Schizosaccharomyces pombe: one gene and its partner. The protein of the gene in region 2 binds, or shares a complex with, the protein of the main gene of each other region. Each region holds a gene or a part of one and is shown on either strand. Other genes may lie near its edges. A codon is read from its position in the direction of its gene.

Evidence for each region.
Region 1: the proteins of ubc7 (region 2) and cue1 are in contact, whole or in part, in a crystal structure (PDB 6OP8), measured with the Schizosaccharomyces pombe proteins. Residues at the interface, in NP_595778.1 of Schizosaccharomyces pombe: Met11 (codon at 5,816), Tyr14 (codon at 5,807), Lys15 (codon at 5,804), Leu17 (codon at 5,798), Thr18 (codon at 5,795), Glu19 (codon at 5,792), Asn20 (codon at 5,789), Gly21 (codon at 5,786), Pro22 (codon at 5,783), Asp23 (codon at 5,780), Gly24 (codon at 5,777), Ile25 (codon at 5,774), Thr26 (codon at 5,771), Ala27 (codon at 5,768), Gly28 (codon at 5,765), Pro29 (codon at 5,762), Ser30 (codon at 5,759), Asn31 (codon at 5,756), Glu32 (codon at 5,753), Asp33 (codon at 5,750), Asp39 (codon at 5,732), Leu41 (codon at 5,726), Gln43 (codon at 5,720), Gly52 (codon at 5,693), Leu54 (codon at 5,687), Arg161 (codon at 4,921), Leu164 (codon at 4,912), Gly165 (codon at 4,909); in NP_587825.1 of Schizosaccharomyces pombe: Asn173 (codon at 2,688), Arg174 (codon at 2,691), Ser175 (codon at 2,694), Lys176 (codon at 2,697), Leu177 (codon at 2,700), Lys181 (codon at 2,712), Arg184 (codon at 2,721), Glu185 (codon at 2,724), Leu187 (codon at 2,730), Phe188 (codon at 2,733), Arg191 (codon at 2,742), Lys192 (codon at 2,745), Glu193 (codon at 2,748), Met195 (codon at 2,754), Ile196 (codon at 2,757), Leu197 (codon at 2,760), Ala199 (codon at 2,766), Arg200 (codon at 2,769), Arg202 (codon at 2,775), Met203 (codon at 2,778), Lys206 (codon at 2,787), Ile207 (codon at 2,790), Glu210 (codon at 2,799).

What each region holds. Positions count from the first base shown.
Region 1 is NC_003421.2:443,233-458,829, forward strand, and holds cue1 (CUE domain-containing Cue1/4 family protein), read left to right. Parts: upstream 1-2,006; 5' UTR 2,007-2,171; coding exon 2,172-2,819; 3' UTR 2,820-3,004; coding exon of another isoform or gene 3,005-3,175; 3' UTR 3,176-3,398; downstream 3,399-15,597. Other genes in the region: DNAJ domain-containing protein Mdj1, read right to left, coding at 1-1,524; SPOM_SPCC4G3.20 (uncharacterized protein), read right to left, coding at 3,005-3,175; SPOM_SPCC4G3.12C (ubiquitin-protein ligase E3), read left to right, coding at 4,032-6,497; protein nur1, read right to left, coding at 7,233-8,183; DNA repair protein Rhp42, read left to right, coding at 9,137-11,197; GTPase-activating protein Gyp3, read left to right, coding at 12,071-13,978; serine/threonine protein kinase S6K family Psk1, read right to left, coding at 14,868-15,597.
Region 2 is NC_003423.3:1,895,928-1,911,644, reverse strand, and holds ubc7 (ubiquitin-conjugating enzyme Ubc7), read right to left. Parts: upstream 5,958-15,717; 5' UTR 5,847-5,957; coding exon 5,658-5,846; intron 5,375-5,657; exon of another isoform or gene 5,262-5,374; coding exon 5,204-5,261; exon of another isoform or gene 5,155-5,203; coding exon 4,901-5,154; 3' UTR 4,620-4,900; downstream 1-4,619. Other genes in the region: AP-1 adaptor complex mu subunit Apm1, read right to left, coding at 1-426, 505-1,152, 1,223-1,328, 1,404-1,465; ribosome biogenesis protein Nop8, read right to left, coding at 2,077-3,513; ribosome biogenesis protein Yar1, read left to right, coding at 3,973-4,413; SAGA complex, phosphatidylinositol pseudokinase subunit Tra1, read left to right, coding at 6,227-15,717. UniProt on the Schizosaccharomyces pombe protein: Catalyzes the covalent attachment of ubiquitin to other proteins. Functions in degradation of misfolded or regulated proteins localized in the endoplasmic reticulum (ER) lumen or membrane via the ubiquitin-proteasome system.

The DNA of each region.
Region 1 (15,597 bases), on a different chromosome or scaffold from region 2:
ACGCTTAAAAAACCCGCCGACCGAACCGTCTTGTTTGTTTTCTTCTCCTGTAGTTGGCTCGGTAGATATTCCTGTAGAGTGTTTGGAAGAAGTAGAAGATGTCGACGTAGAAGAGTTTGTTCCTGAAGGGCTACTTTGTGTCCGTCGAGCTGTGCTATCATTTAATGCGTCTGCTAGTTGTTCAAGGAGACTTCTTTCATGCGGAGATAGAATTTTCGGAATAGTGACTTCAAAATTAACATAAAAGTTTCCGTAGCGAGATGTGTTAACCTTGCGAATACCTTTTCCGGCCATAGTGATTCGGTCTCCAGTCGAAGTGCCTGGAGAAACCCGAAGATCCACGTTTCCTGTAAGTGTAGGAACCCGAAGAGTGCCACCTAGCGCAGCAGTAGTCATGGGAATTTTTGCATTATAAGTAACATTGGTACCCTCTCTAACAAAGAACGGATGCTTGCGAACATGAATAGTTGCAAACAAATCGCCGGGCCTTGATTTCGCATTTGGGCCTCCCTTAGCAGTAGACGCATCATTTCCTGCACCCATTACACGAAGAACTGTATTGTCGTCAATTCCTGGAGGAATGTCAATTGAGACAGTTTTTCGCTCTCGAACTGTACCAGATCCCATACAAGAGCGACAAGCAGAGTTGGGAGGAATGGTTGTTCCAGTTCCACCACAAGAGTCACAGGTAGTTTGCATGTGAAAAGATGGGGGAATGAAATGAAGACGTTGACCAGTACCTTTACAAGCAAAGCAAGTGCTCTTATGAGAACCGGGTTGCAAGCCAGATCCATGACATGATGAGCAAGTAGAAGAGACTGAATAGGATAAGTCTTTTTTTGCACCCCTCACTGCTTCCATGAAATCGATAGTAATACTTGCCTCAATGTCTTCACCAACAAATACATCAAAAGAGGTATTACGACGAGCTTGGGGGCCTCGAGAGGAAAATCCAAATAAGTCTTCGAAATTAAAACCTGGAAAACCAGAAGAAAAAGAAGAAGCGCCAGCAAATCCGTTCTGGAATCCTTCAAAATCACCGCCAGTAAACTCTCCATTCTTAAATGCGCCTGCACCATATGTATCGAAAGCTTTTTTCTTCTTCGGATCCTGCAACACCTCATAAGCCTGTTTGATTTCAACAAATTTATCTTGAGCAGCTTTGTCAGGGTTCGCATCAGGATGGTATTGCTTTGCCAGTTTATAGTATGCTGATTTTATCTCAGAAGCAGAAGCGCTTTTTGATACTCCCAACGTTTTATAGGGATCAGTCATTTCCCAAACTGCTCTAGTGGCATGGAAGCATCGTGCATGATATGAAAAGTTTTTCAAGGCAGCACATCGAGAAAACTCTCGTTTTGCATTTCGTTGAATTGCTACATTTCGAAATTTGGTGCAAGAAGAGCTTATGACGAAATTCCGCCTGGAAGAATGGGCAATTGACTTTGAAAAGAGCTGCTGAGCAGAAGAATTTGTAAAAGAATGCAATCCACAAACTCGGGATTGTAAATACTTGCTGAACATTTTGATGCTAAAAGAAAGTGACTCAACGATTCCGGAGCACTGAATAAATTAAAGCGCGAATTTTTTTTAAAAGAAATTTTAAAATAAGAAGTAATGTAAATATCGAGGTAGAGAGATGAAATGCGAATGTCTACCTGAATTACTTAAAAAAAGATAAAAAGGCACAAAAAATGAACAAAGTCGCGAGTAATAAGTGGAAATAAAAAGAATAACAAATAATATGCTATTATTAAGTACCTTGCCAATGCAATAGTAAAAGGAAAAAAAAAACAAATAAGGGAAACCGAAACTTATGAAAGTTTCTAGAAGTTAGTAGAATACCACTTGAGCAGTGCAATACTCTCTTAAAAAAAAATGTCTAATTAAACAATTTAATAATTTAAATGTCCAATATAAACTATTTGATGAGTGTGGTAGCGTGATGGAACTGTACCGTCGGCTAGAGTATAACACATAGTCTACTGGCAGCTCGAAAATCGATTGACCATTGCTATACACTACAACTTGGCTGAAATATTAGGTCAGCGATAAAATTAATCCGTTTAAGGAGTTAAATAGTGTAAAAAACTTAACTAATATTCCTTAATTATCGTAATTGATCAATATTAATATCGTTTTGTGAATTATTTGTTAATACATCCAAAGTTATGCAACCAGAGCAATTAGCAGGGTGTGCTGTCGTTTTAACAGTTACAGTGCTTACTTTAAGATGGATGTTTCGTGTTGATAAAGGTGGTGAAGTTTCAGAATCGAGAACTTCGTCTTCGGGTGTCGATAATGAACCACCTGTGAACAGCGAGCATGTTCACCTCGTCAAAACCGTTTTTCCACATTTAGAATCATCAGCTATTGCCTATGACCTCCAAAAAACAAAAAATGTCGATGCAACCATCGAGAATGCATTGCGAGGTCAACCTCTACCGCTGCCGCCCCGTAATTCCTCCTTGTACGCTCGCTTTCCACTGTCGGCTGGAGCAGGCGCTTCCTCTCATTCAGAAGAAACAACTCCTTCGCACGAAGTGACATCCAACGTGTCTTCTGGGTCAAGCGCTTCTTCGTTGGCAAGCAACGAGCACAGGAGCCTCATTGAAACTTATAACTTGTCGTCCAGGATTTCTTCGTCTGACAATTCATCCTCGTCCACCGGCAATGAAGAGGTTCGTAATCGTTCAAAGCTTCCATCTTCCAAAAAAGAGCGTGAAGAGTTGTTTCGCAAGCGAAAGGAAGAGATGATTTTGGCTGCCCGTAAACGGATGGAAGGAAAGATTAAAGGAGAAAAACAAGACAAGAATTAAATATAAAACCAATTTTAATGATCTTTTTTATTGAAGTCTCTTCATGTTCACCCGAGGCCCCCTGTTTGATTGTTTGCTCCGCTATTGCTTTATTGAATTGCGTTACTAAACTGCTTAGTTCATAGCTTTTGGGTCTTTGCAATATGTTGCTCGTATTTTTTTGCCTTTTATTTTTCATACTCTCTCTACGATGTGTTCAACTTATGCAAGGTCAGTGACTTTTTGGGTTTCTCCTTCGCAAAATACTGGCAAAGGGCATTGCAAGGAATGGAAACAGAAAAATAACGCAATGCTTTATTTTTTTGGCCATCAAAAATAAGTTTTAGCAGAAAGTAATATATCGATTGTCTGTTCATTTTTGTCAAATTTCTGTAGCTAGTTTTTATAAATATCAAACATTACCAAATTTAACATGTTTACTAAATATGCATGCTAATATTTTCAGCTAGGCATGTCTTTTGTGGTAAATAAACATAAAACCTTGACGATGATCTCTCGCTTTCTACTGATTCAACAAGTTATGCTAAAGACAGGTAAATCAATATTATCTTCCTTCTAGTCGCTTTTGTTTACTTTCTGTAAAATAGTGAAGGTTTGCGTGTTTGTTGAACTTTAATACCGTAATATCATTTTTTGCGGTGATTTTATATACTGTTTCGTCAGTTGAAATCGCTAAACGTCACTAAGATTTACCATGCTGTTCGGAAATCCCATGGCTCCATTCCATTTTGCCATCCACACCATATTTGTGAACATTTGTGTTTAATTGTTTTTTCTGACTTGACCTTTCTTGTGTAAAGGTTTTTCAGAAACCTAATCATTCTCATATATTTAACTAAAAACTGACAGTACGGCTTCGTCTGTCTTTGCAGCAATCAGGACGTAACTTGGTGTAAGGAGTCATCATTGTTACAGCTCCAGGCCAATTCAAGGTATTTAGATATTTGTATCAAATCAGTTACTTGTTTTTTTGTGATCTAGCTAAGATCAAAGGCGCTTGAGGGCCATATACTTTGATATCTGTTTGTTTATATTTTGAATCGGCTTGCGAGTTTTAAGTAATCGGATAGCTACACCTTTAGTCCGTGTATTACTTGATTGCTGTTTTTAGGTAATAAAAATAAAAAAGAAACTATTTTCTTTTTTTTCTTTTACTCTTTTTTTTTTGTTTTCTTCGTAGCATATCAATTTGCTTCAAACCGTTCCTAATTCATGGGACAGACAAATTCTCGACATTCATTAATTGAAACCGATGAACCCACCACATCATCTAGAGTTTCCATGTTAGTGGACAGAGTGAAGTTGCTGTGGAAAAGGTACACAACACCTCTGTCAACTGAAGACGGTAGTCGAGAAGCACATTTTGCTGTTCCTAGTGAAAATTATGCCGACACTCCATCTCGCAATACCCCAAATTCTTCGAATGGGTTCCCTTCCGAAACCCTGGTTACCTCATCCGCTCATTGTTCCACCCAACCTCATAAAGATGAAGCATATTCACATCATGGCTATTCAAGTACAATGGCGTTAGATGACAGTAGTCTAGCACAAACTTATCATGAGTATGAAGAAGGCACCTCTGGAAACTCCCCATTGAGGAGAGCGATTGGCTCTTATGATTTTCTTCATCCTCGTCCGTCCGGTAACTCCTCTCGTTTGGATAGGAATTCGTCACGCCCTTTTACCTCCTCCTTCCATTCTGCTCCATTTTTAAGTTCTTACGGCTCATCAAATGACCCTTCTCAAGAACGTGTAAACGAATATTCACTTCCCTCAAATTCAAATTCAACTTACACGACACCTCTTCAATCAATTAACAACGAACATCCCCTTCCCACTGTTCTGGAAAATAATGCTCTTTTAAATAACTCCGGTAACTCCCCTTCTTTAATAAACCATTTGCGTCAATATCTTAATCAAGATTTTAGTCGTCTACATCAATCCCCTTCACCCATCCCTAATTCTAATGATAATGACTCTCAAACCCGCCGGTCGTCTTGGTCATCTATCGCTTCTGCATTTAATGACTTTCCTGAAGAATTTCCGAATGCCAGCAATCCTGAAGCGCATTCGAATTTTACACCTCTTAACGGTAATGATGAAAGCACCGTCAATATGCTTAGCCGGTTACTTTCTGCTGCTGCCATTGAAACAGTTGCTTCAATTATGAATAGCGAAGCTAGGAATATGGACTCCCAGAATATGGCAAACGGTGAACCATCTCGCTTTCGTTCTGTTGATGGTTCATTTGAACAGTTCTTAACCGACCTTCGTAGTGGAAATTTGACTAATGTTCTTCAAAACTCTTCTCAAAATGGAAATGATCAAATTTCTTCTGACCCTGAGTCTAATTCCTCAGACCTTCAATACTTAAGGATGTTCCGTTTTCCGTCGTTTCATCAGTCTCACAATCAACCTGCCTCTAATAACGAAGCTTCAGATACAAATGGACCGGCTTTGGTGCCTGTCCTTATCGTTTGTATGCGTAGCATTTCCGAGACTTCCGAGGATCATGCGCCAACTATGACTCAAGAAAATCAAAGCCTTCATAACGAGAGTAGAGAAAACATATCCATTAACGATATAACCGAAAGAATGGCTCAGTCCACTGAATTTTCCACTGATCTTCCTCCTACATTCGAGAGAAGCAATTCAACTTTTTCACATCCTGAACCTACAAGAAGTGACTTTAGCCAGGCTTTTACGCCGGTATCCGATTTCCCTGCAAATCTTTTTCCTGGTTCCAGAAATTTGTTTCCAACGTCCAACTCGGGTAATCAATCTACTTCTTCGTTTTCGCGCTACAATCAACCTACTGTTTCCGTGGATTTAAGGAATTCAAGTATACTAAGAAGAGCTCAAGAACCTGTAAATGGTTCAACTGGAGAAAATCACATTGGAGATGATTACATTTCTTCATTATTGGATAGTTCAAATTCCAATTCACAACGACCGTTTTCAACAGTGCCTTCTGAATCAAATGTTTTTTCGAGGAACGCCTCCGGCAATTTCTCGATGTCACAAACTCATCAGCCGACTACCGATAATACCTCCTCATTTTCCACACAGCCTGGAAGGTTATCTACAGGACTCCATCATTTTCCGTCTGATCGAGATTTACTGTCTAATCAAACTAGACGTTCTAGCTTAGCACGGAGCTATAGATTTGAGGAACAACTTTCTGTTGATGATAATACTAGCGACTTTAGTACGTTGGCTTCCAATGGGGCTGCCGACATGGTTACTCAAACGCATTCAGAGGGAACTTTCTCTAATAGCACCCATGGTGATTGGCTTATCTATGTGTTTGGTGGTCTGTTTCCAGAACATCATCCAGTTTTGTCTACAGTTAGCTTGTTTAGCGATAATCCCATGTATGAAGACTTGTTGGCTCTTACTACATACCTGGGTCCAGCGAAGAAACCAGTCGCTTCTCATGAAGATGTGAAACGATCGGGCGGACTTTTTGCATATTTCGATGATGCTTCACTTTCTAGTGCTGATTCTTGTCTAATATGTTTAGAAACTTATACTAACGGTGACATATGTCGCAAGTTGCAGGCTTGTAAACATTTTTTCCATCAGGCCTGCATCGATCAGTGGCTTACCACTGGTAATAATTCCTGCCCGTTATGTCGGGCTCATGGGGTTACGACACAAGCTGAAGAGGAAAATTAATTTTGACTTGAAATTAAAGCTGGCCTTATTCTATGTTTGTTCACTCTCATTTATTTTCCTTCATCCGTCAAATTTGTTGAATAATTGTTCGCACTATTTGCTTGTGAATGAAATCTACATAATAGCTCTTCCCATTTTTATGGCTGCTATAACCTAAAACTGCTTGACCTTGTTCAACTATCTCTTTGGGACTTTCTCATTTTTCTCATTTATGACCTTATTGATAAAATTTTTGTAATTTTCTACTTGCTGCACGGAAACGAATTGTTTTGTTGTGCGTCTTTTGTTAGAAATAACAATTGCCTTTTTTACAAAGCTGAGTTTTTTCTAAAAATCATTTTAGTTAATCGGTTTGCACGTTTAATATAATTTATTTTCCTTTTAGAAATTTTGCTTCGATTTTTACATATTAGTTTAGATACAAAATTGATGCACATTATCACTTTTAAATATATTTTCTAACAAACAAGAGTATTCATATTTATAATCATGTAAGGATTTTAATAAGAGATCATATTGAATAAGCTTAAATTATAAGGATTTGGTTCTAAGTCGATCATCGAAAGTTTTTAGAATGACGGTGTTTGATACCCTAATTAGTCTTCATGAATACAATTATTTCAGGTCTGAATTGAGTTATGACTTAAAACTTTTCGAAAATAGGAATTAACAGAAACAACAATGATAAATGGAAATGCAGTGGGTCATTCAAAAACCATGTAATTCAGACAAATATTAAAAGCGAGAACTACCATCACTAAGATGTGGAAATCTCTTAAATGGTGAGCTGCTGTCACGACTAATTCCGCTGTCATGAAGATGATGAACACTTCTTCTTTGAAGCGCTATAGGGGTACGGGGTGTTGAAGTGAGATGATCATGTGAAGAACTTCGGTGTTCAAGGAAGGTATCTATGGGTTTTCGGGGTGTGAAATATTCAATAGATGCGGTTGTGGGACCACGAGTAGTATTAATGGCAACATCTCGTTTAACTACCGAAAGTCGAGGTTCTACAAATTTCTTATCATACTCAAAGAATACCTGGCGATGAAGATATTGTTGATCTTTCAGCAGTAAGGAAAATTTATTGACAAAATGCAATGTTGTAAACGAAAGGAGAAAAGTCAACAAAGTCACGCGTAGAGAAGTGCTATAAAACCATAAAATCAAGGCATGAGCAGGAGAAAATAAGCAAGCAAAATTTAGTAAAAATTGATTTGGGCTCCATACTTTCAATTCAAAAACTTGTTCATCGCCATCATCATTATTTGAGTGCTGGAAAACTGGTTTTACATTGGGAGTAGAAGTCGTCGTGCGTTTGTCTTGAGGCAAAGTTCTATACAGCTTATTTTGAAATCGAGTGCTAAATATGAAATTGAGAAAGCTGATGAAAAGAAAACAAATTGAGAGAAATGATAGGAAGGCACGAAACCAGGACCTAGAGGTGTTGATGGACTGCTTATCCACAAAGAGCTGGTTGCGTTGAACTGGTACATGCGTACTTTTTATATAAATGCGCATTAAGAGAAAAATAAAATTGACAGCCAAGCTAAAGGGAATCGAATAACGATCTGATACTTTATCCCACTCTACACTGTCAAATTGTTCGCAAACATAGATAAAGTAATCGATCGGAAGATTGATTATTTTAGAAGTCAGCGATGTACGACGGATTAACTTTCCCATTGAAAAGATTTTTAAGCAATGTTTTGAAATTCAGGTGTACTTTTTGAGTATAAAACAACGCCGAATTAGAAATGAAACAAACCATGGACCTGAAAGGTAAATTCCGATATTCGTATACTAATGAACGAAATTAGGGCACTTCTCCGTTTCAGGATTCAAACCTTACGTATTAATTAGAGTAGCAAAGGCTTTTTAATTAGCTAGGTCGAGCTTGCTATTATCGACTTCAATTGCAACAATGAAGGATAAAAAGTTTTTTATTAAGATAACTTTTTAAATCCGGTACGTAAACAAGTGTGCAATAAAAAAGAAAAAAAAAAGAATTTGCTTTCGCAGGTTGATGTTCCTAAGTATTGGTGTTATTGATGGTTTCAACTTTACCACTACTACTGCTGTGCAAAATCAGTCGTCGATTTAAAATTCCTATTTTTAGGAAATATAAGCTCGATCAGTGACATAAATTTAAACAGTTTCGTTTGACGTTTTACTAATTAATGAATTATTTCCTTAAAATTTAACGGCTGAAGTTTTTTTTGACTTATGTTTATTGTCTCTTATTAATAGTGATGCATGTGGTTTAACTTTTTATTTAATAATTTATTTTCATGTTATGTTTCAGATTTAAATTTTTTAAATCTTTATTTCACGGTTGAAATCAAAAGTAGTTAATATAGCTCATAATATTCAGCAAACAAACTACTCGCCATTCTTGCGCAGTTGATACTGACCTCTTTTTCAAAGGACTTTTTAATAATCATCATCACAGCCATTGTTAGAATTTTGCTTTCTTGTTGGAGAGATTGCTTGAAATAATAATTCTTTAACTAAGAATATATCAGATGTGGCTGTGATTACAACTTTTTATTCAATTTATCGTTATTGATATTATTTGAACCAGCGGTTAAACAAGCATTATCCTAAAGTTGATTCAATTCACATAAACTCTTTGCTCAATGCCACCCAAACGCAAAGCATCCAAGAACTCTGTTCGCGGAAGGAAACGTAGGACACGGACCAATAACTTACCTCTTAATCCTGAAGTGAAAGAGGAAACTGTTGTATCTTCAACTCACCGTCAAACTCGTAGCCAGTCGAAAAAGCCAAGTTTGTCTTCCTCAGCGGAACCTCCTTCTGAGAGTTTAGATGACAATATATCAGCGTTAAACTCACTTCAAAGGAGCGCATCTTCATCCGAAAAAGGTTCCGATGAAGACAATGAGAAGTTAGGCAGCTCAGAAGATGACGAGTTTGACGACGATTTTGACACTTGGGAACAAGTTGATCTTTCTCCTAATAAACAAGAAGATAAAAAAGATTTACACATAGTCACACAGCATATCACTCCTCAACTTACAAAAGAATCGAAGAAAGGCTCTTCTAGTGCAATGGATAAAAGCATTCGATTATCTATTCACATTATGCACTTTACTTGCTTGTTGTACCATGGGTCAGTAAGGAATCGCTGGTTAATGAATTCCTTACTTCTTGATGGGCTGCGCGATTTGCTTGTCGAAAAGCAACCGTCCGTAGTGGAGGCGTGGGTTTGTAGTAGCCAGACGCACGAGGATTTGTTAAAATTGTTAAATGGGCTTCGGATGTGGTGGAATAAATCTTTTAAAATTGAGAGTCATGGGCTTCGGAAGTTGGGGTATCGTACTTTGAAACAAGGATTTGATATCGGCTTTTCGCCAGAAATATTTCATAACTTTCATGAATACCAAGCATCCTTACTTTCGCTAAAAGGAAGCCGGGATTTGGCGGCACAGGGATTTACTGCTCTCTGTCGATCTCTGAATCTGAAAGCAAGACTTATATTTTCTCTTCAACCTTTGACATTTTCTACTGCTTCCTATGATGATTGGTCTCCACATATCCTCCCTGAAGAAACTAGTACATCTATAGATGACGACCTCCGCTATCCTATTTTTTGGACGGAAATCTATGATCAAAGTGAGAAGAAATGGATTGCGGTAGATGCGGTTGTCTTGAATGGGGTATATACCAACGATATGACTTGGTTTGAACCCAAAGGAGCGTATGCAGAGTCAAAACATCTACGAATGGGTATTGTTGCTGCATATGATAACGATTTATACGCAAAAGATGTAACTTTGAGGTATACAGATTACCAATCAAGTAGGCTTAAGAAAATTCGACACGTTTCTTTTGCAGATAAGTATTTTGATTTTTATAAGGCTATTTTTGGGCAACTAGCAAAGCGCAATAAAGATGCAGAGGATATATATGAAGAGAAAGAACTGGAAAGTAAAGTGCCCATTCGCGAACCTAAAAGCTTTGCAGATTTTAAGAATCATCCTGAATTTGTATTGATTAGACATCTTAGAAGAGAAGAAGCATTGCTTCCTAACGCCAAGCCTGTGAAGACAGCAACCTTTGGTAACGGTAAGAAAGCTACCTCTGAGGAAGTGTATCTCCGAAAAGATGTGGTCATATGCAAAACGCCTGAAAATTATCACAAAGAAGGACGAGTAATTAAGGAAGGAGAACAACCTCGAAAAATGGTGAAGGCGAGAGCCGTCACAATTAGCAGGAAGCGTGAACACGAATTTCGGGTTGCTGAAACAAATGAACCAGTGCTTCAGGGTCTATATTCTTCCGATCAAACTGAGCTATATGTTCCGCCTCCAATCAAAGATGGTATTATTCCTAAGAACGGTTATGGTAATATGGATTGTTTTGTTGAGAGCATGATCCCCAAGGGCGCAGCACATTTGCCATATCGAGGAATTGCTAAAATTGCCAAGAAACTCAACATTGATTATGCGGATGCAGTTACAGGGTTTGAATTTCGTAAACATCGTGCGATTCCAGTTACTACAGGTATAATTGTACCTGAAGAGTCGGCTCAAATGGTTTACGAAGAATTTCTTGAGTGTGAAAAAATCAGAATAGAGAAGCAGCAGATGAAAGAGAGAAAAATTATTTATGGGCAGTGGAAACACTTGCTAAATGCACTTCGTATTCGAAAGCGTATTGAAGAACAATATGCTTAATTCCTGGCTTTCGTCGGACACTTTAGGGTTTGTATAACCGGATGTGTGTTTTTTGAACAATGAGGATACTTAATTCCAAACGTTAGACTCATTTATTTATTTATTGTTTTGCAAAATTGACATTTGGTTATTTGTGAAGTATTTTATTTATTTAAAGGAAAAAGAGGAAGCAAACTACCAAATTATCTAATATTTTATTGATTTAAAAAACCCCAGATTTTTATAGCACTATTTTTCATATTGGTGGATCACACTCTATTTTTCGCTTTATAGATCACCCAATTGCATTACCTTGCCAATCGTACTACAAATTTTTTGTTTGAAGGAACAACGACTTAATAAAATAAAATAAAAATAAAAATAAAAATTTTCATTACACGGTAATATCCAAGTTGCTTAAAAATAGCTAAGTCGTAAATTTTATTAAAAAATTAGATATATTCATATAATATTAATACTTTTTAGCATTTTTTACGAAAAAGATGTAGTAAATATAGTTTAGAAGGAATCTTATCATGAGTGTTGCTAAGTACCTCGGTAACCTCGATATTATGGTATCATGGTAGGCCCATTTAACACCACCACGCTTTGTTGCAAAAGCGCGTACTATGCATATATTCTTGGCGTTTACCAACCACGCATTTTAGTCATATAGAAAGTGGAGCATAAGAAATCTGGTTATTGAAAGGCAATTATTCATTCAATTACTCAAAAATCTCCCAGCTGGGTAGTAATGGTACTGGAAAGGAATTTTTATGAAGAAAGCATTGTTGAAGAACTAAGAGATTTTTTGAAAGAAAGCCAGAAGCCCGAAGCACCAGCGTCGCATGTGTGATAGTCAGGGAATTCTCGACATAAGAAGAGAATTTCAAAATGGCTGGCATCACTGAACATTCGACGATTATGAATGATGCAAATTTTAAAGAGGAGAATGCTCACCTGTCAGATGCATCAATCCACTTTGGAAGTAGTGAACAGGATAAAACACCTTCAGATTATGAATTAGATGATGTTTTAGATCTTTACAATGATACTACTGAAGACGATGCCGATGATGCAGACGATGTTAATAACTACATAATGTCTCCATCCTCCAGTTTATCTAGCGAGAGTGAACATGCACTAGATGCTTTAGTGTATCCCATTTACAGTCATCATAACATACTTGAGCACGAAAATAACTCTGACTATGCTTCAATTACGCCTAGTAATCATCCTGCATTTACATCATGTGCTTATCTGCAGAATCCAGTCGTTGATTCTAACAATGAATACGAAAGCAAGTTCAGACTTTCTTTAGAGATACCTCCAACTGATTTCTTATCTACTTCTACTGAACTTTCGAAGCGTGAATCATGCCTTAGTACTGAAACGTCCTCCTCCAAATTTTCCGCCGTCACCGCTGCCACTATTACCAACGAAACCCAGAGTGAAAAGCGTTCATCCCAAACAGATCCAAGCCTTCCTTTCAAAACCAACTCCCTTAATTGCGACGTCACTTATGAAGAAGGTCCTCTCACCAAAAAGCTCCGAGGACCCAAAAAGTACAAGCCCTCCCATTCAAGCTGGGATATATATGGTTTCAAAAAAGCCAACCAGTTTTATACCGTTGACCAATACAACACATGGTATGGCCCTTACAGCCGCTACCTGGAGCGTCGCGAACAGCGATGGAAGCTTTTCCTTCAAGAAAACGGTATAGACTATATACACCAATCTCCTAGTATTTTTCCTAGCCGCAGTGCTAAAACTCAACGATTTATTCGCAAAGGAATACCACCCGAGTATCGTGGCAATGCCTGGTTTTATTACAGCGGTGGTTACGAATTACTTCAGAGAAACCCTAAACTGTACGAGACTCTATGGCGTTGTGCGTGCATAAAAAAGCCCTCAGATTCTGACCTTATTGAACGTGATCTATATCGTACCTTTCCAGACAATGTACATTTTCGACATAAATCCAAGCATTCTAGGAACTCATCCGACGCATCAGAGCATTCATCAGAGGAGCCTGATGTTCCAATGATTTCAAAACTGCGTCGTGTTCTAATGACTTTTGCAACATACTTACCTGAAAATGGTTACTGTCAAAGCTTGAATTTTCTTGCTGGTTTCTTCCTGCTTTTTATGAGTGAAGAAAAGGCGTTTTGGATGCTCGTAATTACGTGTCGTAAATATTTACCAAAGATGCATGATGCCAATTTAGAAGGTGCTAACATCGACCAAAGTGTTTTGATGGCATCCGTTCGAGAAAGCTTACCAGCGGTTTGGAGCCGCATCAGTCTTAATTTTGATGGTATACCCGTCAATGATATTGTGGCAAAGCTTCCTCCCATTACTCTCGTAACTGCTGCCTGGTTTATGAGTGCCTTTGTTGGCATTTTACCTACGGAGACTGCTCTTCGTGTATGGGATTGTTTTTTCTATGAAGGCAGCAAAGTTTTGTTTATGACGGCATTGTGTATTTTAAGACTTGGTGAAGATGATATAAAGTCGAAAAGTGAGCAGACAGAGGTATTTCAGGTGATTCAAGATTTACCCAAATCGTTACTTGACGCTAATGCATTTCTCTCCTTGTGTTTCCGAAGGAATTTTAGGCGCACTCCCTCCCAAAAGGATATAGAGCGTCGAAGAGAAAAGGTTGCAAAAAAGCGTAACTCTTCTGCTTCAAAGCTTGAAATGAGTGATTCTTCGAAACATCACCTTAGTCGTTCATCATCACGATTCAGCAAGTCGCATATAATATCTCAGCTTCATAATCACTTGAAGAAGTCTACTTAGTTATGTCTGTTTACCAATTGAGTTTGCCCATTGTCAAACCTGTCAAACCTTTACTCTCGTTACTAATTTTATGAATGCCCTTGTTCGTTAAGAATTTGGTTGATTGGTTCAGATTTTTATTATTTTTTTACATTGCTACATTGAACAGCCCTTATTCTATTAATTTTGAAATGTTTGTATGAACGTCGTTCCATCACTTATTTGTTCAGCAGATTATTATTTTAGGTAGTCATTGACTCCACTATACACTCGTTTTATTCGGGCATATGCCATTATTTTTGCAAATCGATCTATTTATATGTCTCTTTTGTATAATTGCCTCTTTCTTGTTTGCATAACAATCGATTTTATCTCCCGTTGACACTGGGAATCGAGTCACTAATGTCGGCATGCTTGATATTATTAACATAGCATTATAAGATCACTGTTTTATCATTTTTTGTAGTTAGCCCTCAGTCTGTATTTTTATAAATCATTTGTTGCTAATTCGTTTCAACAGGAAATTGTTTTTAATGTTAATATAAAGTATGAACAATTGATATATTAAAGAAAACACTAAGCTGACCGATGTTTTGTAAAGTATGTATATAAATATATATAAAATTAAAGTTTTCTATTGTGTAATAATAATATGGTTAGTGAAAAGGGATTAAGTAAAGAAGCAACTAATGAAAGAATTAACAGTAATTATAATTAAAATCTTAGAATCTTAAGGATCGATGTTCGATAGAAAACGATTAATTAATGGAGTTTCTTCAAGTATTATGAGTCCCTAAAGGATGAAAGGAGTTATGATATAGTGAGAATAATCAGTTTGTTTAAAATAAAATATCCTTTTCACACATAAAATAAAAAAGCACTTAGTAAATGATGCTTTAGCGAAACCTATTTAATGGTTCGAAACTGCGTTGTTAGATAAAAATTCACAGTTGAGAAAATTGGGAGACGCAACATAGGTAAAGCCTTGAAAAGCAGAGGAATGGCTACCAATTGTTAAATTCCCAAATTCTTCATGAAGAATGGGTGTTGTAGAAAGAGGCAATTTGGTAAACTCGACTGAAAAATTCTCCGCAGCCTCAGGATTGGTGATGCAAGGAACAATTGGGGGAGGCAGCATGCGCTTCTCTAACTTATTCCAATCAATTCGGCGATAAATTCTGTGCTTTTTTATTGCATCGTAACCTTTCTCGGGACCATCTGCGCCGAGGCGTTGCTTTGGATTTTTCTTGAGAAATTTGTTGATAATGTCTCTAGCATCAGAAGTCACATAAAAAGGTATGTTAGGCTTTGCACGAGTGATTTTTTCCATAATTCTCTTATGATTGTTGGCGGTGAAGGGGGGAGATCCTGTAAGAAGATCGAATATGAGGATACCCATAGACCACCAATCGACGGCATGATCATATGGCTGCTCCAACAAAATTTCTGGAGCACAATATTCCTCAGTGCCTACAAAAGAACGACAATCAGCTCCATTTTCAGCCACCTTTGACAATCCAAAGTCTGTAAGAAGGATATGGCCTTCAGCATCCAAAAGACAATTCTCTGGCTTTAAGTCCCGATACACAATACCAAGTTTATGTAAATGTATCAATGCTAGAGTCAATTCAGCAGTATAA
Region 2 (15,717 bases):
ATATCGAACCCAAGGCATAGCATGATAATTAAGTTTTGGTTCGGTGATTTTTAAATAACGAACTTGGATCCCTGAGGTAGTGAAATAGGGAATAGCAAATTTTAGTTGAACAGGACGTTTTTTCTGAACTTGAATATCTTCATTTTTAACACTTGGTAAACCCATTTCAGCACGCATGAAAAATTCTTTACCACCTGCAAATTTCTTAATGTTCCAAACCATGGCAGCTTGTTCAGGTGCATATTGCACATGACCATTGCTAGTTTGAAACCGAGGACTGTCAGCATCTTCCGGAACGGGAATGATGATTTGGACATTATTTGCAATACAACGCTTTTTGAATTGAGCCTTAGCTTTTACCATAAACTCAATTCTCGAACCTGAATGCACGATGGATTCACATTCAACCCAAATTAATGGCCGTACCTAACGAGAAATTAATATTAGAAAACGTTGATAAAGGAGAGAGGGAATAAAAAGAACAGGCACAAACTAATAACTTACATTTGAACTCATGCGATAGGACATTAAATCAAATTCGCCATCAGGAGGAATGAACGAAATTGTACGATCGTTTTCAAATCGAGCAAGACGAACACATTGGTGAAATTTCACATCTTCCATTTCCACAGTGTTTCCTTTAATGGTACGACCAGCCGCTTCGAAAAGGACCTTGTCATTGAGCCCAAGACGAAGTTCAGGCATTCCTGATAAGTAGCATTTGAGACGAACTTTTCCTAAGATTTCACTTTGAATGACCGTACCATCGGCAGCAGCAATTAAATTAACTGATTCAATAACGTCCAAAAATACTTCATTCTTACGATAGTGAATTCCTTCAGAACGCCAGGAGATAGCATTTGTCATAGCAATGGGGGGTGGAGCATGCTTTTTTACCGTATTTGAGGTTTGAGTGATGTATTCTTGCAAGATTTTTGTTTCAGTTGTTTGTGGAAAACCGAAATCCATGATCTCGTCTAACAATTCATAAACAAGAACAAAGTTATCTCGAATCGACTCTTCCTGCAATTCTTTAAAGTAATCTATAAAAACGTCCGCCATTTTACGCAAAAATACTAGCATCTCCATTGCATCGGAATTCATTTTGGATAAAGCAAGGAGGTAGACATCATTATGGTGAATGTAAATGTACTGAAAAGTGTTAGTACGACCATAAAAAAATAAGAATTGTTGGCTTTCATAATATCTAACTTTTACATACGTTAATGCCTTCGTGAGTGAGACAAGGGGTGGAGAATCCTTGTTCTTCTTCAACTTCTGATTTTAAAGGTAAAAACTTTTCAACTACTGACATGGGGATATCAGCTCTAATTGTTTTCTGTTAGTAACCTGTCGACGAATTGCGACAATCTGATTTTCATTCAGATTTCAAAATTGCCTACCGGTAATCACGGGAAATGATTACCTTTCCCTTTAAATTCAGAACGAATATAGCAGAAGCCATTTTTACAGAAGCCGCGAATAAGGCAGCTAGTTTCGCTCTGGATAACTAGCATTGACTGTTGGCTGCCTCATCACCGTGCCTAAGCACCGCTAGTGTAATACAGCGTAATTCACTATTTCTGTTTCTTACATATAGTACGAAATTCTTCTTATATTGAGTAATTACTACTCTATGCACACATTCAGTCTTCTTTTATAAGATAATCTATTCAGATAATTATAACTAATTTACATTATATGGTTTTGTAAATGCCGAAAAGGAAAATAATTTTTCTGACAATGTAAGAAAATTTCGGTATGTTTTATTTGACAACTTTGGCTTATAACAATAAGAATAACAAATATTTTAATAAAATTTGATCTCAAACATTGTAAATATTAAAAGCCACAAATCCCAAGAAAGTGCAACGAAAAAAGTTGTTAACTTTCACCAATGATAAAACCAAAGTGAACATCGTGGCTTTTTAAAAAGACACAGATTTTTTTCTAAAATAAAAAGGATAGAGAAATAACAACGTAAAGATTCCAAAAGTGTGTAAAAAATCAATATATACCTCGTAACCTTAAAATACCCAAATAAATTCCCAATAAATACATAACCTATACGCGTCTTTAAACAAGTCGAATACGCTTTTCATGAGCCCTTCGCTGTCTTTTTACGGCATCTTTTCTTTTTCGTTTGTAATCACGAGTTAAGAATAGACGATTTTCCGACCACCAGGATTCAAGAGCTTCTCTGCTCGTATAATCTTCATTACCTGGTTGGAATAGGGAAGAAGGATTGGGTAGAGTAAACATTTTTGGCCAACCCTTGGTACCCGATGAGGCTTTAACTATAGCTAGCGGAGTTTCCCCATCTGCCTCTTCTTCCATAGTTTCGTAATTACGGTCATCAATCTCACTTTCCATTTCACTTTCCTCACCAACTCCATTTTCATTGCCAAAAAGAGAAAACTTAGACGTATCCTGCGCATTGGAAGAAAACATTTCTTTTAAATTGTCAACGTTAACAACAGCAGTACGCTCATCAAATGCTTCAAATTCAGCAGGAACATCTATGTGTACGGACTCTTCCTTTTGTAAATTATCTTGTTCATCCAAACCTTCTTTTTGGAAATTATTAGTCGAATCATTGTCCAGTTCCAAAACACCTGAAGTTTTAGATACGGTATCAATTTCTTCTGTATTTTCAGAACCAAACAGTTCAGCTAACACAGATGCAGCCGTATCCTTATCTTTTTTTCGCAAAGCATCCAATTGCTCTTCGTTTAATTCTTTTGTGACTTCAATCTCCCCAGTTGTGTTATTAAGAAGTTCAAAATCGTTATCATCCTTCTGAGTAGAAGCTTTGATACCCAATTTTGCTTGCATACGTATTTTGTCACGAGAAGCTCTCTTACCCCCATATGATACATACTCATCATGATCAGAATCATAAAAAGCTGTAGTATTGTCCATATTCGTTTCCACTCGGCCCCATAGTTTTTGTAAGCAGTTTTTACCCAGCGGATAAAAAAACCTCGTTTTCTTAGTATTTTTATTATACATTCGAAGCACGACAATGGCCCTTCCATAGGGGCCTTTTTTCCAACCTTTTCTAGGAGGATCCTTCCGAACATCAGAATCCGTGACCACCTGCATATTTTTACTATGTTTTCCGGGAACAATTATTTCTCCATGAAAGACTGGGTCTTCCAGATCAACTTTGCTGGAGTGATCTTCATTTTTCTCATCATTATTAGTACTTTGAAGATCAGCAATTTTTTTTTCCTGCTGCAATTTTACTAAATAATAAGGGCGAGCTTCCTCTATACGAAGTTTACTTCCTTTAAACGTCGCATTTGATAAGTAAGACTTGCATTTCTGCCATTTATCTTCATCTGTTCGAAAATTCAAGTATGCAAATCGTTGTATAGTTCCTACTGGAGTAGATTTGTTTATAATTTCAAGATTTGAAACACTTCCAAAACGAGAAAATCTGGATTCCAAATCTGAAGATTCAATAGAGGATGAAAGGCCACCAACATAAATCCGTTTTTCTAACTCCATTATTGAAGTCAATTGATACAAAATGAGGACAAAAAGTTTCGCAGGTCAAAAAGAGTGTCTGAAATATAATGGGAAATAAACCCGAAAAAATAGTCTACCAATCGCTACCAGATAGCTATTTAGATGAGGAATCGAGAGCTGTGTGAGCAATGAAATTTTTTACAAGGAAAGCATATATACTGGTTTAAATCTCTATGACTTTCGGAAATAAACACTCCTGTAACTTCTTTTTCTCCTTCTTATAAATCAAAAATTAACCTGCTGTAGAAGGCAGGTTCTCGTTGAATAATTATATAAAATTGCAATGGAATTTGTGGTGTAGTAAGTAACCACGGCCTTGCCGAAGCCAAGTTGGAGAAGCCGCGGCTACCTTACACTAACAAACGAACAGTTTTCACATCATTCTCTTTCCAAATAAACCGGTAAAACATCCTTCTTTACTGGATTGGATAGTTTAATATGGATGTTGATGATTTAATTTACGCTTGTAGAGCTGCGGATGAGGAGTTACTAGATGAGATTATAGAGAAATGTCCACAAGAATTAAGTCGTCGTGATGAAAATGGTAACTCTGGACTTCATATGGCTAGTGCTAATGGACACATCGCTGTTGTTCAAAAAATAATCCCGTACTTGAATAAAGAAGTAATAAATGCTCAGAATGAGAGTGGAAACACCGCAATGCATTGGGCAGCACTGAATGGACATGCTGAAATTTGCAAATTACTACTGGAAGCGGGAGGTGATCCTCATATTAAGAATATTTATGAGAAGTCACCTATATATGAAGCTGATATTCGAAATCAGCAAAAAGTAATGGACCTTTTTCTGGATTTTGAGATTGCTAAAGGTAGTGAAGAAAACACTGGTGATGAAGAAAAATTGGAAGATGGAATATGATCGTTTTATTTGATAATTTCTGATTTTTATTTTGTAAAAAAATTTACCTCTTTCTTTTGTAGGTTGTGGGAAGCTAATATTTTTATGCACCTGATGCATTTTTTTTTTCTTTTGGAGCATAATTTGGGGTTATTCTTATATTTTGTTAAGTTTTTTACTGTGTAATTTCTAGATGTTTTCTCAATATAATTCGTTTTCAGCGATGTACGTTGCCATGTATCTGTGTAGAAAGTTCAAGTGATGTTTATTAAAAGATGGATTATCTCAATAGACAAAATGTTTATCTTCCATCATTTACAGATAGAAATTGAATTGGAAAAGTGCTTTCATTTTTGTTTAAACCTTGTAATTAAACCTATGTAGCGTTATACGTTGGAATAGAAAGAGAAAAGCCTACCGGTTGCGTTCAAAAATGGAACAAAACTTTATTTCTAGATTTTATCAGGTTCGTTATTCATGGCAATCTAATCAAATATACAATTCATGGTTATAATCCCAAGGTTTTACGAGCCAATCGTCGAACTACACGACAATATTCTTCTCGATCTTCTCTCCACATCTTGCACGCATCGATGTTAGCACCACTTTCATCGTTTGGTTCCGCCAACATCGACATTACCGATAACAGTATTTTTTCAACAGATTGAACAGGAGACCAACGTTCTGAAGACGACTCATACATATTTGGATCGTCACCAGGTGCATGTAGGATGGAAATGCAAACCGTCCCATCTTTGTAAACTGAAATGAAGGTTAGTCTCGAAATTTGGATTAATAGTATCTGGCATACCATTTGGATGGAAAAATTCACACTCAAACTTTAAAGTAGGGGGGCCAAGAGGATAATCCTACATAAAAAAGTTAGAATCCAATAAAAATAAAACTAAGCACGTATCAACGTGCGCTTGAACACCCCGGATGTACTGCCATGCGATTCAAAGAAAGAAACCAAACCCCCAAAAAAAAACTTAGATAGATCTTTTAAATAAAATTTCTTCCTACTCATCAATAAATCGAAGGATTCATCAATTACTAATGAATAAAAGCACTTCTCTTAAATGATCATTCTAAACGAATGGATTATTGAGTTACTTTCTTTATTTACGCTGAACAAATGTTAATTTATGAAAAAGAGCGCGTATTTTTTAATAAGTAGTTGATACATAAAACATGCGAAACATCATACTTATCCACAACTTAAATCACATGTTCAGTCTCCATCAGGTTTATAGTAAAGGACTTACGGAAGGAAATTTCAAGGTAGCAGGGTATAACCCACCTTCAAATGGAGTTCCATCAGGGCCTTGAATTAGGCAATCCCAAGTAAAGAAATCATCCTCATTCGATGGACCTGCAGTAATACCATCAGGCCCATTCTCCGTTAACTCCTTATACTCCTTCATTAACCGTCGCAACGCCATAGCTTTACTCATTTTGGAAATCAATTAACTTACTAATCGGTAAGATATATTAAAGATCACTGACTAAAAGGTAGCCTAAAAATGGTAATGAACAGATTAATGAATGAATGGTTTGTTTACGACAAATTATGCAGCTGAGGCTAAACGAACTTTTGTGGTATCACTCGCTATTTTTATCTCGTTCATCATTTTAGCAACTTCTACCGCACAAAATAATAAGGCCGTTAATTAAAATAGCGAAAACATGTAAAATTCATAAAGTGATTTAGAGGAAAGAAATGCAGCTTGCTCTATCCCACAACATTCCAATAGTAATTGTTAAATACTTAGGAAAACGTATCCGAGTGCAATTGGAATTTAAAAAAGAGCTTGCGCAGAGATCCAAGCATCTGATGGATGTATCACAATGCGAACATTGGCATAATCGGCTTTGTGATGTTGGATTAGACTCGAAGCAAAAGGCAAACACAGCAATTGAAATTCGAGATGCACTGGATGATGTGTTGGTAACTGAAAAGACGAATTTTGAAACTTTCATTCCTCTTTTGGAGGACACGTTGTCTTTGCTTGAAAAGGAACGTCCTGTATTTTCATCGTTAGCAGCTACACATCGTTTACGCATTGCATTGCTTGAATTGCTCAAGAAATCTGGATCCTATAAAGGTTTTGAAGCATTCGTTAATCGGACTTTTGCCGTGCTTCTTCGTATAGTCGTTAATGATAATGAAGAGATGGCAGTGTTGGCATTGAAGCTTGTTGTCCTTCTTTTTAAGGACCACAGTAGCCTTGCTAAGGGACATGTTCAGGAATTTTTATCCATTGTCGTTGAAAACTACAAATCCATGACCACAGTTGTTTCAGAAGCTTTCCCACCTAGATCAGCTCCGAATACTCCATCCTCTCATCCCATGTCTGCTGCATCTTCTGCATCTCCTGCTGAAATTGGAATGGAACATGCAGGTCCAAAAATGATCCCAAAAGCTTCTTCGAGTTTCAAGGTCACTGCTGAATTTCCCATTATCGTCTTTCTCCTATTTCAAACATACAAAGATCTTATTCCGAAAATGCTTCCTTTACTTGCTCCGCTTGTACTTCAATTTATCTCACTTCGTCCTCCACCTCAAGCCGAAGCTCGTCGACTTGCAGAATCTCAAAAAGAGGTTTTTATTGGTGTAGTCCCTTCTTTGCGTCGAAATCATCTTTACAATGACCTTATTTCTGCGCAAATTAAATCATTCTCTTTTCTCGCCTATTTATTGAGAAGTTTTGGTGCTGCTCTTAAACAGTTTGAAAGCTCGATCCCAATATGTACCTTGCAATTGTTCATGGACTGTCCTTCCGAATTATATCAGACTCGAAGAGAACTTTTGGTAGCTACAAGGCACGTCTTATCGACGGATTATTTGAGAGGGTTTCTACCGTATGTAGATCAACTACTTGATACCAAAATTCTAGTTGGTTCTGGAATCACTTCTCAGCATTCATTACGACCCATGGCTTTTAGCATGCTGGCAGATATGCTTCATTATGTGCGTATGGAATTAAGTCCACAACAAATTTACAAAGTCATACTTCTTTATTTCAGTATTTTGATGGACGACTTTTATACTTCAGCTATTCAGGCAATGGCTACAAAGCTTATTTTAAACTTGGTTGAAAGAATTGTTGCACTAGAAGATTTTTCCACTAGCCGATCACTTCTATTTGCTATACTTTTATGTCTCTTAAGAAAATTGACTTCTCTGAATTTCGAGTTTATGAAGCTGAGAGATTCTTTACAGGAAAATGCTGACTTAAAGCAAATTAAAATAGAAGAAAATAAACATGATCTTCCTATGTTTGAGAACCCTACTGGAGCTGCCCAACCTTCAGGTTTGGATAAGCTAAAAGATTGCATATTTCTTTTTAAAAACACCTTATTAGGTATTAAGCCTGTTTTGTTTGGACTAAAGCAACGAAATATTCCTCTTGCCAACGGTTCCATTTTTACAGCTCAGGAATGGTCTGAAAAGTTACATCTTAGTTCAACTAATGAAGTTTTACTGTTTCGAAGATTACTTGTGGAAAGTTTAAAGGGATTCAGTTATTACCAGACAGATGAAAAAACCGGTGTATTCAAGTCCTCGAAAAATCTTGCATACTCTCAACTTGATTCTTCGTTGACCACAAACCCTTCTAAACTCTTAGAAGAGAAGGAGCTCTTAGAAATGTTAGCAACTTTATTTTTACACTTGGACCCATCTGTTTTCGTCGAAATTTTGGAATCCGAGTTTCCGAATATATTTGAGTGTCTAGTAGATAATCTTGCTTTATTGCATATTTTCCAATTTTGGATGTCTAATGAAGTTACTTCTGTCAACTGCACGGGCATCGTGCTGTCTTTTTGCTGTGACAATCTAGCTAAAATAGGGTCTGGCCAATCCACTCGGGTTTCTGTTTTATTGCGATTATTCAAGTTGGCCTTTATGACTGTGAATGTTTTTCCCGAAAAAAATGCAGAAGTCCTGCGTCCCCATATATCCTATATCATTTCAACTAGCCTCGAATTGACTACTGATGCTGTTGAACCTTTAAATTACGTTTATTTAATGAAAGCTTTGTTTAGAAATATCAGTGGAGGAAAATTTGATTCTCTTTACAAGGAAATACTACCACTTCTCCAAGTAATGCTAGAATGTTTCAACAGATTGATTTTTACTGTTACGTCTACATCCCAAAAAGAGCTGTATGCGGAACTTTGTTTGACTTTACCCATTAGACTCAGTGTGTTGTTGCCTCATATGAATTTTTTAATGAAGCCATTGATTGTTGCATTAAAAGGCCCCCCTGAAATAGCTAGTCAAGGGCTTCGAATATTTGAACTTTGCTTGGATAATCTTACTCAAGAATTTTTGGATCCTTTATTGGACTCAATTATGCCGGATTTGCTGATATGCCTGTGGAATCATTCACGCCTTAATCAATCCAATAATCAATTGCATCAAAGTGCTGTGAGAATATTAGGAAAAATGGGTGGTCGAAATAGACAAATATATCTTGGTACCTTTGGCTTTGATTTTTTGCAAGATGAAAATATTTTTCCTTCAATCCAGTTTTCTTTCCAAGGCTCCTCTCAGAATTTTAGCTTAGAGCACTCCAAATTTTTAATGTCTTCATGTGCTGTTTTAAACAATCAAAATTCCGATTTAGAAGAAAAGAAGCAAGCATTTCAAATGGTCAAGAATTCGTATTTATTACTCTTTGCGTCTGCGAAGCCCGATGAAGACTTTTGGGAATCTATTGATACAATGTGCCGAGCAGTTGTAGATCGCATGGATAAAAACTTACAGCAAGTCTCTAATGGTAGGTTGTGCCCTGACAAAGATGAATCTTATTATCTGCAAAGATCTATTGTCTCAAACATTTTTAAATCTTTAGTCGGCTCAATGTCTTGTGTGGAATTTGTAGCTGAAGCTCGAGAAACCATCAATCGTTCTTTGGAATGGCTCATTGTTCTTGATTTGGTTAATTACGCTGACTCTCTGCAAATAAAAGATCAAAATATTTTTGATAATTTGCAAAGCATTAAAATGCTTGATCTTACTACGTGCATCAACGGAATTTTCGAATCTTTATGTTCTGAAAATGAAAATACCAGGTCTAATGCTTTATCGTGTATCGATCATTATTTGAACGCCCATAAGATGCTTCTCAACACAACATTGGATATATCAAAGTTGCCTAGTTTTCAAAATCTTGTAACAGTGTTTTGCCAAAGTTGCCATAAGGAACTGTGGTACCAAAAGAATGCTGGATTTCTCGGCTTAAAAGCAATACTTTCGTATGATTCACATCATAAGCTTTGGATCCAAGATAGATTACACGACATATTGAAGGCTTTGTTCTTTATTCTCAAGGATACTCCAACCGATTATGGGGTTTTAAAATTAACCGAAGTTCGTTCTTTCATCGTTGATATTACAACTCAATTCTGTATACTTCAGGATGTGCTTGCACCGAAAGAGCGTGCTAATAATATAATTAATGCATTTTCTCCCTTTTTTTTAGAACTCCTACATCCCAACGATCATGTTAGGAATACTGTGCAACAAGCTATTGAGAACATTTCCAACAATTCTAAACTTAGTGTGGTTGATCTTCTTCTTCCTATAAAGGACAGGCTTTTAAGCCCTATTTTTGGAAAACCCTTAAGAGCGTTACCTTTTACAATCCAAATAGGGCATATAGATGCAATCACTTACTGCTTGCACCGCTCTCCCTCTTTTTTGGATTTGACTGATGAATTGTACAGATTATTTCGTGAAACAATAGCATTAGCTGATGCTGAAGATGAAGCATTAGTCACCATGCTTAAAACTTCTCAAAGCAAAGATAGCTCTTCTTTACGAAAATTAAGGGCTACTTGCTTGCATTTACTATTTGCTTCTTTGGTGGCTCATAAGTTTGATCAACCTCAACATGCTCAAACTCGTACTAAAATCATAGCGATATTTTTCAAAGATCTATACTCACCTCACAAAGAAATTTATTCAGTTGCAATAGATGCGTTAAGGCACGTGCTCTCGCAAAACCAAAAGCTTCCTAAAGAACTTCTTCAAAGCGGCTTGAGACCAATTTTAATGAATTTATCGGACCACAATAAGCTGTCAGTTAACGGTCTTGAGGGTTTATCCAGACTTTTAAGATTACTAACTAATTACTTTAAAGTGGAAATAGGTCGGAAGCTTCTTCAACACCTTAATGTTCTATCTGATTCTAAAGTCCTAGAGACTGCCTCACTTTCGTTATTGAAAACCAACCCAAGGATCGAGATTATTGTGTCTTTGGTTAACGTATTCAGAGATCTTCCTCCGTTGTCAGCGCAGTTTCTAGGTGACTTGTTGTCGTCGGTCGTAAACATAGAGGCAGTTCTCAGAAAATATTCTAACAGCCCATTAAGAAAACCGTTGTATTCTTTTATGGATTTGCATGCAAATGATACCTGGATGTATATTTTGAATAATGCACGTAATGGCGATTTAATAACTCGATTCGTTGGTGCTTTGAATGACCCGATGTCTGAAAAACTTCGCGAAACCGCCGGTAATTACTGGGGAAAGCTTTTGGAGCTAATTTCGCAACCGGTGTCTGTTGAAAATTTGGCTCCAATGTATGCTGTTGATATTATTGCAACCGTGTTTCCTTACATTTCTGCCAATGTAGATGCAGGAGTTATATCGGCTAAATTTATTGTTTTATCAAAGTCCTTGTATGGAATGCTTAGTTCATACAACGAATATCTATTTCTTCCTATTCGCAGGTGTATATCGTCCATTACAAAAATGCTTTTATCTAGTTTAAAGAAAATAGAGAAGAAGCTCGAGTTTTCATTAGAAGTTTTTAGATTTAAAGCTGACGATGATAACGATTTCCTTCCAGAATACATAGATTCGTTATGTGGTTGTCTTATAACCTCAACAAGTGCAGCTGAAAAGAAAAGTATATTTTTAGTTTGCTGCAGTATAGTTGGTGACAAGTCAGTTCGACCTTTTTTTAAAGCATTTCTCTTGGATAAAGTAATCAATCCGCTTGTATTTAAGTCATGCGGAGAAAATAACTTTATTGATAAGGATGTTGTTCATTCTGTTTACACTCATGTTTGGCGTGTTTCAATTCGAGATTTTGCTGAAGTATCGGGAGCCACAGATTCCTTTTACATGGGAATTATGTGCTTGACAACGGCGCTTTGTAAGTACCATTCAGCACTTCTTAATGATTATCGCAAGAGCGTTATAATGTCAGCTTGGAACTACATTAAACTCGAAGATCCTATGGTAAAACAAGCCGCTTACGCTACGATTGCATGTTTTATAAGTGCGTATGATACACCTGCTAAGATTGTGACACCTGTTTATGTTTCTATACTAAAAACATATCAACCAGAAGTGAGAGCTTTTATTGAATTCTCTCTTGCTTCTTTGCTGTCTGTATTAACCGCTAGGCTATCGAGTCCTTCCGATTCAACTTTCCCCCTTTGGGCGAAACTTCCTAGATTAGTTATCTCCGAAGATGTTCAGGGTATATCACAGCCTTTGACAGTTTACCAATTCATATGTAAAGCACCTGACCTTTTCTTCTCTTGTTGCTCTCATTTTATTGTACCCATGGTTAATGCGCTTCCAAAGCTTGTGTCGTTTTCTAGTGCTAGTACAGAACCACGAAAGTTAGCTTTGGATATTGTTCAAACCTTTATAAATTGGCAGAGGAAACAGAATGAATCAGAAAATTCCGAGACCACGCTTTTTAGCAATTCCCATATTGAAGCTATTCTTACCTTCCTTATAAAATTCCTTTCGCTTTTTCCCGAACCAGTTGAAGAAAATCCACTTTCAAAGAAGGGGTTATCATTATTTAATGATCTGTTTAGTTTTCCTCGATGGAAAGACTGTCAGCTGAACTCTAACTTCTTTGAAAAAATCCTTGTTGATATGGACTTCAACGATAATAACTATCGTACGGTAGCTAACACATTGTTTGTGTTTGGAGTTATTTTAAAGAACAGAGGTATGGAGTATATTCAACGTGAATATAGTCATATAATCGCTCTGATCGACAAAAGTTTGCGTTGTGGTAAATTGCCTGTTACTCATTCATTGGAGCAGATTATTTTATTACTGTTACAAAGCCATCCAACTCAAGCAGAAGAAGAAGAAGACACGAATGAGGCTGATGATTTTAAACAACTACTACTTTCAGTTATTCATGATAATCTCGCCGCTGCCACTAACATTGAGTCTGCTATTTGCTATTTGCAAATTGTTAAATCCTCTAATCCGGAAGCGCTTGATGGTCTTCTTCTTCCCTTAAATAAATGCTTTCAAAAGGTAGCACGAGACCATATTGTCGCTTGCATGCAATCTGCTATACAAGCATCTGGAAAAGTTACACTTCCTTCTGCATCTGATACTGTCTCAAAGCTTTTGATTAGTTTCATTGAAATTATTAGAGTACGCATGGCAAGCTTAGGAGATCAACGTAGATGGTTTTTAAGTGTTGTGGTGCAATTGCTCGAAAAGAGTTCAAGTTTTGAGCTTTGTGAACATATTCTTAATGTTACAAAGGAATGGGTGATTGTGAAAAGAGATTCGTTTTTGACAGTCAAAGAAAAAACTGCACTTTTATTGAAGATGAGAACTTTTGAGGGAAGATTTGACAACAAACTATACATCGAAGCATGTGATTTGCTATCCACGATATACAGGGATCCCATTTTTGCGCATACAGAATTAACTGCCCGATTGAAGCAAGCCTTCCTTCTTGCTACGGCATCTAAAGATACCAAAATACGAATGGATTTTATGGATATTTTTGATTCCAGCATGTCTCGTAATGTTTATTCTAGATTGACTTTCATACTGGATGCAACTAGCTGGGATACAATTCCTAGCATTTACTGGATCAAACAAGCGAATTATATTCTTCTTGGGGCTATAAATGCGAAACAGCCTGTCCGGCTTACCGACAATAGTCTTCGATTTGCTCCAGTGCCAATGACAAAACCCATATTAAGCTCACTTCCTGAAGTTTTTTCAAAACACAACGGTTCAGCTATTCCTCTTGGCAGATTTACCTTTTTCAAACAACTGGATTTGTTCCTAAAAAGAAATAAGGAATTAACTGTGCAAAAAATTATTTTTCCGTTGGCACACATTCAAATGCTCAGCGATGCAGATGCTAATAAGCTTTGGCAATATATTTTTCCTCTTGCATGGAAAATACTAAGTTCGGATAACCGTTCTGACCTTTCAAAGTCTTTAATCTATTTACTCACTCGTGATTATCACATCAAACAGGTAAACAATCGACCGAATGTGATCTCTACTTTGGTTTCATCTTTCGTTAAGTGTGCTGCAAAATTAGAGCTTCCACCTCATTTGGTAAAATATCTTGGAAAATTGTACGGTGTATATCATGAATCCGTTTCACTTCTCGAAATTCAGCTGAGTGATAAATATGACATGTATCAGAATGCAAAAGTTCAAGAAAGCCGTGCGGATGCAGTCGCAGAGTTATATGCATCTTTAAATGAAGATGATATGTTTTATGGCCATTGGCGACGAAACTGTAAGTACTTGCAAACTCAAGTTGCTCTCTCGTATGAGCAACTTGGAATGTGGGGAAGGGCTCAACAACTTTATGAACAGGCACAGACCAAGGCTCGCAGTGAAGCCATTCCCTTCTCAGAATCAGAATACAACTTGTGGGAGGATCAGTGGGTAATGTGCGCTCAAAAATTACAACAATGGGACGTCTTGACAGAGTTGGCGAAGCACGAGGGATCTTCTGAACTATTGCTCGAGTGTGCTTGGAGAATTAGCGATTGGTCTAATAATCGTGAATCCTTAGAGGTTGCCATTAAGAGCCTTTCTGATGTTCCTACTCCACGGAAACTTACCTTTCAATGCTTTATGACACTTCAAAAGTCAGTATCTCAACCTCTTGCCATTAAAGAGTTCCAACAAGTATTGTCTGAAGCCATTCAACTTGCGTTAATTAAGTGGCATCAACTTCCAGAAAAAGTTAATCAATCTCATTATTCACTTTTGCATCTGTTTCAGCAATTTGTTGAACTACAAGAAGCTGCTACAATTTATTCACATCTGAATGCTATCAATTTTCAGAATTTGCCTACTAATGTTCAGTTGATTAAAAGTGCTCTTCAAGTTTGGCAAGAGCGGTTACCTAATGTCTGGGACGATATTAATCTTTGGCGTGATCTCATTTCTTGGAGACAAATAGTATTCTCTATGATAAATCGTGTTTATCTCCCCTTGGTCCCTACGATACAGGCTAATAGTAGTGCTGATTCGTCTAATCCTCCGAATACCTCTTTCTTATTTAGAGGATATCATGAAACCGCTTGGCTAATTAACCGATTCGCTCATGTTGCCAGAAAACATAAACTACCTTCCGTATGTCTGAACCAATTAACGAAGATATATACTCTTCCAAATATTGAAATTCAAGAAGCTTTTTATAAGCTTCGAGAGCAAGTTTTATGTTATCTACAAAACCCAAGAGATCTGAAAACAGGTTTGGAGGTTGTTACAAATACCAATCTGATGTACTTCAATTCTAGACAAAAGTCAGAATTCGTGACATTAAAAGGAAAATTTTTAGAAAAACTAAATCGAGGTGAGGAGGCTAACCAAATGTATGCTGCAGCAGTACAAATTGATTTAGGGTTGCCAAAGGCATGGGCAGAATGGGGTCGTTACAACGATTTGCTTTTCAATAAGTCACCAGATAATTTGAGTGCAGCATGCAATGCCATTAGTTGCTATCTTCAAGCTGCTGGTACTTACCAAAGTTCTAAAGCTCGTAAGATGCTGGCAAGGGTATTGTGGTTATTAAGTTTGAATGACAGCGCCGGTACTATAGTTAAAGCTTTTGAATCATACAAAGGTGATATACCAGTTTGGCATTGGCTTACCTTTATTCCCCAGCTTTTAAATTCACTTTCTAAAGGGGATACTAAATGCGCACCTGTTGTTCTTAAAAAAATTGCTAAATCCTATCCACAGGCACTATTTTTCACTTTAAGAACTGCTCGTGAAGATATTGCACAGGTAAAACGCACTGAGATGGCAGCATGGAAATCAAATACGACTGATGAAAATAAAAGAAATGAGGATATTTTAAGCATACAATCTAACTTTCTTTCTACCAATCAAAGCACGAATGCTCCAGCAACAAATAAAGAAGATGGACTTTCTAAAAAAGTTTGGGAATATATTGATGAAATTATGTCAATTTTAAAAACTGCTTATCCTCTATTGGCTTTGACTATGGAAACTTTAGTTGATCAAATTCAAGCGAAGTTTAAATGTAAGAATGATGGAGA